Lytechinus pictus: one gene and its partner. The protein of the gene in region 1 interacts with the protein of each later gene in a pairwise test. Links are inferred from orthologs where the notes say so. Each region holds a gene or a part of one and is shown on either strand. Other genes may lie near its edges.

Region 1 (3,760 bases):
TCTCACATTTCTCGCGATTTTTTTTCTGGATGATTTACAACATCATTGAGGAAATTGCTGTCCCTTACAGCATAAAATTTCATTTTTCACTATTAGTTTGAAAATCCTAAAGGCTATATTCCTCCTGCCTCACACAAGGACTACTTTTGCAAAAAGTACCTACAAGTAATGCTGCCCCCACAACATCCCCACTGAAAAAGATACTTTACCAAAAAAAATACAAGAAAATTCATAATGCTTCAGTGTATCACGTTTTGGCACACTTTTCTTCCACCTCACTTCTCTTGAATAATTTCAACCATGCTCAACATATTTTCAAATCAATTACAAGTTGTGTACAAAAAGATAGAAAGCACAGGCTCCAAGAACAGTTCACTCTCAGTGGTAATTGATAAAATGTAAATCCCCTGCCCCCACATATTTGCACCTAAAAATAACAGATGGAAAAACCTTTGTAAGCTGCAAAAAACACCTGCAGTAATTTGCTGTTGGATTCAAAATAAAACAGACTTGAATATATATGACCTGATGTTATTAAATACAAAATAAATTTTAGCGTATGAATGGAAGCCTGGAAAATACCCCCCCCCCACAAAAACATTAATTTTCCCCAAATTGACCCTACCTTTCTCTTCACTCTTTCCTCCTTTAAGTATATTTTTCATCCATTTCGTTCCTTTCTTCTGTTCTTCAGGGGGTGTGTTGGGGAGGGGCTTGGAGCCGGGATTCATGACGTCGAAGCGGGCTTCGCGACTGTTGCTGCTGGAAACTCGAACGGGTGGTGCGGGCGGACTATCGGTATAACTCTGTGGATCCGACCACTGTGAGCTCATTTTTGGCGGACCTACAGTAGAGGGTGGCAGAGAGGAAAACAGAGACGGAGAAATAATGACAAAATGTTTGAAAATAATGACATAATTTCCTGTTTTCGTCTTGGCATGTAATTCCTGGTCTGAATCATTGTGTGCAAAACAAAGCAATGTTGATACACATACACAGCACAGAACGTTACAACCACAGGTTGCCCTTCCGAAGATTTAAAGTGAGTTTGAATGTGTAGGCACAATGTTTATAATTCAAAATACACTGCGCGGTTCCTGTTTCAAACATTAGATTCAAAGATAATATTGATTGAACGATTACATTTCTTTGTGTATGGTACAACAAGCTACATGTAGTTACCATAGCAACAAATTCAGACATTAGGCCAATAATATGATATAAAATTAATGTTCCTTTTTGACATCTTTGCTCACAGGACCTTTCACAATATACATGCAACCAAGCTAAAAACACTATTGAATTTTCATTAATTGTGTTTAGGAAAGGAGAGAGAAAGGTACATAGAAGCATTTCAAATATCAGTAAGGAATAAACATTAAAAATTACAACAACAAAAAAAGAAAAAGAAAATAAAATTTTCATGGACTCTTTTCTCATTTTTACATTTGTAAAAGGGTTTTTCTCACATTTAGATTATACAGGTAATCAACCATATCTTGTTTGATTGTTTAAACAGTTAATTGAGAAATGAATTGATGTGCCAAATAGCTGTACTGCTTTAAGGGGAAAATCTTCTTTTTTTTCTCCTGAATTGAGCTGGCACTTGGATGATATTACATTATGCATAAGGACATCCAATCAGACGGCCTCTCATGAAAGGGTCCTGATCTACATTCTACTGGAATTATTTCCTTTTCAAGCACTTTAGCCTGGTCACAATCTACCATTCACCTGTTATGCCAATAACACTACACAATAAAAACACAAATCATACTATAGTTGAAATGTTCCGTTAAATACAGTAGATTGAGATGTACAGTACATGTACAACATGGTACCCTTTCCCGGAGCCAATGCTATTATATAATTGTCCTTTATTTTAAAATGCACTTTCACAGAAAATCATGCATCCAAAGTTCCAAAACACACATACATGTAGTAATACGAAGGTGAAAAGTACAAAGTAACAAAGAGTTCTTCAAATTTAGTCATGTTGTGGATCTTTGATTTGAAGTCATAATGTTAGTTTCTGATTCTACATGTACATGTAGCTGATGGGCAATTCTATAAAATGATCAATCTTTTTTTGTATGTCAGACCCCCATTTTTCTCAAGTCTTACTTTACTTCATAAAGTGACCAAGTCATTACAGACTGTCAGAAGAACAAGAAATCATAGACAGAAAATTTCATGAAGGTCGTCCTACATATAGGGGGTCGGATGTACATATTTTATGGAATTTCCCTGATATAAAGCTGTCTTGCCAAGTGAAAATCAAAAATATGGAATGATTTCAGCTACATTCAATTTTGATACCCTGCGTTGTCCCTGTTTAAATGCAGTATCCTTGCAGGTAAATCTTTAGTAATTTGTGCACAAGGTAGAATGCATCTACATAGCATGTACATCAACCCAAGTACGCATAGTTGAGTATCCATGCTTACATCATTTTGAAATACGTCATCCTCATATCTTTTAATACAACCATGAACTAGCCACCAATGATCATCTATACATGTAATGCATCTATAATGTGGAGAGTCGTGGCCCAATGGATTAGTCTCCGGACTTTGAAACAGGGTCGTGGGTTCAAATCCCAGCCATGGCGTAATTTCCTTCAGCAAGGAATTCATCCAGTGTGCTGCACTCGACCCAGGTGAGGTAAATGGTTACCGGCAGGAAGTAATTCCTCAAAAAGCTGTGTGCACCTGATAGGTAGCCTAGCTTAGCCGGGTAATAATAATAGCAGGGCCCGCTGGGAGAACAGTTTTCGGAACTGAAGTGGCTACCCTGGGTAAATATACCGTTATTATCATTATTATGCATTAATTTTAATCAAAAATTTAATAATTATAAATATTCCTATTGTTAGAATTTCATTTTTAAATATGAAATTAAAAAGCTAGTGGGTTTTATAACAATGTGCAAGAATCATACATGAAAGGGGATGTTTAACATAAGGAAACTTTATTGTAAAAATATCAGAAAAATAATTTTTATATAATGAAGAAAATACGTCAATGATTAAGAAAGTTATTGGAGTTTCAAGTTTTTAATTTGTGACATCATATACGAGCAGCTGCCCCATATGTTATTTTTAATAGTTCATGATGAGGAGCGGATGTGAAATAATTTGTTGATATACTGAAGGCACAAAACACAGTTTTAATTTTTTTTAGAAAATGAAATTTCATTGATTTTTTACGACATTATATATAGGGAGGCTGCTTGCATATGACCTTGCAAATAAATCTTAAAAATATTCAAATAAGGATTTGAGGAATATCCTCAAACATTCAATAATGTGTATTATTTTTTCTGCTATAATACAATTAAACTTTTTATCAGGGTGAACTTCCCCTTTAACTATAAAGACAAGACTTGAAAGTGTTTAGTTAATGGTTTCTGCTTTTGTTAATACAGCACTAGGCAGTTCAAATAATGCTCTCATTATAAGATTCAGTTGCATTAAGTGGTGATTTATTTGAATGTACATTTCATGTCATATGATCTACAAGTAGTTCCATACATTATGAAGGGAGATACATTGTAGATCTATATCAAACACATAGGTTGGAATACAAACACATAGGTTGGAATACAAAATGGCAGATATTTCAATCTCTAATAAGTACTGAATTCTCCATGTACACTGGTGAAGGCAAGGAAAGCTTTTCTATGTGAAAAAATTGTAACAATGTATAATAACATCAAAGTCTTTAAAAACATCTGACTAAATATACAAATTAACTTCTGT
Region 2 (3,760 bases), about 3.3 Mb from region 1:
CTGCTGACATTAAATGCATGTACATGTATAGTACAGTATACTGTAGGCCTAGCCTATATTTTAATTTGGAAGACTTCCCTCCAAATAAAGCATGCTTCAGTACATTACATTTCCATAATTCTTCTAGTTTTTATATTTTTATTCTCTATGAATGTTTTGTACTGATCAATACATACATGTACATATAGTGATCAATGCATATATCATACATGTGTAAATGTATGTTTGTGTGTGTATTGTGATCAATACACTCTGAGCACACATTGTGTAGCTTCGACTCATTTTAACATTCTATTGGTGTAATCCAAATATGATTAATCCAGTCCACGATCGATTCGAAGATGGTGATGGAATGAATAATAGATGATTTATGAATTATTTTATACTTTGAAATGCCAAGAACAAAAGAGATACAGTGTTGAATTTATTAATTGATTATGGGTTGAAAAGTGTGAACCCATTTTGGTTCAATCAAAATGTGTTGCAGTCCATATGAAAGTAAAATGAAGGATTGGCGTTCATACATGTACAAGAGAGAAAAGGGAGAGAAAGAGAGAGCGGGGGGCGATGGGAATGGGGTTTTGTGTAAAAACAGGAGAAAAGAAAAAAAAATTCATTAAGAGGTATGGCAGAAGGGGCAAACACAATGGAGAAGAATTTGCAGAATTAGTGAACTATGAATGTACAATGTAATGAATTCATTGATTACTACAAAAATAGACTGGTACTTGGAACAACAATTTGGTTATTACATGTAGAAAAAATTACTACATTACAGTTCCTGAAAACCAGGATCCATTTTTTTTCCTTTTCCTCCCTTCCCAAAAATTTGGTTATCTGAAAAAAAGGAAAACAGCTTGTAGATTACATGTACATGTAAACTGCACACGTGACCTTATCAATTTTTTTTCAGTGCATACATGTATTTGAATGCTCTTTATAAAAGCATGTCCATGTATCCCCTGTCCCGAAAGCTCAATATCGACATCATGTACTAGAATTCGATAATGATTATTTTTGTTTTCAATCAGATATCGTGGTTTCTGTTGCTATGAACATATTGGTACTTGATTTTTTTTATGATAAAAGCTCAACCAAGAAACTATTACATGCACATGTAAGTCCTACATGTACATGAATATTTCAAATAAGAATAAATAAGTCAATCCTTATTCAAAACAATCATGTGTCCCGGATATCTTGCAATAAGTGCAGTAAAAAATGTGTAATCATAGTCCAAAGACCGATTTCATGGGATCTTTGATAATGCAAAGCCGAAAGGATATATACAATGTATACAAGGCAAATAATTTGAAGAGATCGTAGATGGTATTAATGTGTTTCTCTATCTTTATTACAGAGATGACGGATGAGGAGGCTGTGTTGGTAGTCGCTAAATGGGACTACGACTCCAAGCAAGAAGAAGAGCTCAGCATCAAACGGAACGAGAAACTCAAGCTGATCGACGATTCCCGATCATGGTGGAGGGTGGAGAAACAGAATGGCAAATGTGGCTATGTCCCTTCGAACTATGTGAAGCGAGACAAACTCGGCCTCGTGGAGAGAATCCGGAAGGGGATCTCTGCAAAGCGTACTGTACAGAAACCGGCATCGCGTCCGATCTCCCCGCCCCACAGCGAAAGCCCACATCCACACCCGGCCCAAACCGGAGGCGAAATGCCATTCTCACAACTCGCAAGGGTCATGTACCACTATAAAGCCGCACAAGGCGACGAACTCAACCTGGTCAAAGGTGAGCAAGTGAACGTTCTGGAGAAGTCCGGGGACGGATGGTGGCGAGGAGAGTGCAATGGACAGAGTGGGTGGTTCCCCTCAAATTATGTGAGCGAGGAGGACACCAATATGCCAAATAGTCACGGTTCCAGCACGAGTTCAAAAGGTGACGACAACTCCATCCCAGATGACTTTGTGTTGGGTGTTACAACTCTGTATGCCTTCAAGGCAAGGACTGAAGAAGAATTAAATTTTGAAAACGGCGAGTCGCTGGACATTATATCGAATCCCTCCGACGATCAGGACTGGTGGAGAGCACGCAACAAGAAAGGTAATACAGGACTAGTTCCGAGCAACTATGTGAAGGTTGTAGAGAATGCGGACCCTGTGTGCCCAACAAATTTTTTTATTGAGGATGCTGTTCCGAAACCCATTGATTTGCCGCAGCACGACAACAACTTTGCTCCGCCCTCTGATAGATTTTACGATAGGGATTGGTTCCATGGAAGAATTACCAGAGGGGATTCAGAGAAGATTCTGAGCTGTCCTGGAGAAAGTGGATTATTCCTCATACGAGAGAGTGAAACAATGGTAAGAACAGGCTACCCTAAAGAAGTGGTTATTTTAATGTCTAAACTGGGTGCGCTCCAAGTTCACTTGGGCACCATACCTTGATAAATACATGCTAGGGCCATTTAATCTCAATGGACTTTGGTATTTATCATGTTATATATTTCTTCAGAAGTTTTAAAGTTGATGTACATGTTTGAGATATATAAGATACATCAACCCTTAATGTCTTTTTGGTTCAGTGCAAAATTTTTAGGACTTTGGTTTGGTTTAGCAATGTAATCTCAAGATTCTATATTATCTCTCAATACAATGTCTCAAGGGATAATCTGCACATTATTAAAGCAAAATTTCAACCTTAGCACTGCCTTAAATCTAATTATCAACAAACAATCATGAAATCAATAAAACTTTTAATTATGAATATAAAACATTCTAAATATTGGTTTAATCATCAGTATCATAGTATGATGTAGGAAGTAGTTGAGAAGGTTGAAATCAAATGATTCCTTGGAAAAACGAAATAAGAACAATTATTATCTTTTATTCATTTTCGCAGCCTGGTGACTTTGCTGTGTCTGTGAAGGCTCCAGATCGAGTGAAGCATTTCAAAGTGACGCGGTCAGATAAGAAGTTCTGTATCGGACAGCGGAAGTTTGAGTCATTAGATGACCTCGTAGACCACTACAAACGCTCACCCATATTCAGCTCAGACGATGGCGAACTCAAGCTGTATTTAACACGGCCGAATCAGAGAAATTAATGTCAAGGGTGATTTCTAATGGACGCTGAAAATACCCCAGCATGAACAGAAGAAAAACTGCCTGGGTGTGCATTAATATCTTTTATTCGCCTGTGAGGGATTACATTTCTTTATTGAGTGAGGAAAGAAAGAGAGAGAGAGAGAGAGGGAGAAAGAGAGTGTGAGAGTACAGTAAAGAATGAATAAACTCTGAGAATGAACTGCATAGGTCCCAACTTGGAGCCTTGTGGGACTCACCGTGCTATGTTGATATACATGTACCAAAGTGAGATTCCAATGTACATGCACATGTGTTTTCAAAGAAACCACATGAAGAATGCTTGAGATGTACATGTAGCTCTTGGACTGTTAGTTATTGACCAGCAAGAGCCTCCTCATTTAGGACATTGTGCTATATGAATCATGATAGGATGAGCTTCATACACAGGCTTTGTGATAGCTGCAAGACTCAACAGACTAGTGAATGAAGTGCTGTTGGGGATCATCGAGCATTAAGAAAAAAAGCATTAATGTCAGTTTTATTTCAGACCTTCAAAGAAACTTATGGAAACCTTTTGTCTACTTTCCAAGTGTTGCTTTTGTCCAAGATCTTCCCCCTAATATTGTTAACTTTCTGGTTTGAATTTAACAAAGTACTTGTACGTAATTGTGTAATCCTACTGAGTAGAAGTGTCCTTTTCTCCTGTTAGTACA

What was found.
Region 2: the proteins of serine/threonine-protein kinase PAK 3-like (region 1) and cytoplasmic protein NCK2-like interact in a two-hybrid assay, tested with the Caenorhabditis elegans proteins (2 studies listed by BioGRID). The link is inferred for Lytechinus pictus from reciprocal best matches to the Caenorhabditis elegans genes pak-1 and nck-1.

Annotation. Positions count from the first base shown.
Region 1 is NC_087260.1:19,732,915-19,736,674, forward strand, and holds the start of serine/threonine-protein kinase PAK 3-like, read right to left. Parts: upstream 2,811-3,760; 5' UTR 834-2,810; coding exon 626-833; intron 1-625. UniProt on the Caenorhabditis elegans protein: Required for hypodermal cell fusion, together with cdc-42 and ced-10, leading to embryonic body elongation, which involves dramatic cytoskeletal reorganization.
Region 2 is NC_087260.1:16,432,106-16,435,865, forward strand, and holds the start of cytoplasmic protein NCK2-like, read left to right. Parts: upstream 1-1,328; 5' UTR 1,329-1,335; coding exon 1,336-2,325; intron 2,326-2,863; coding exon 2,864-3,067; 3' UTR 3,068-3,760.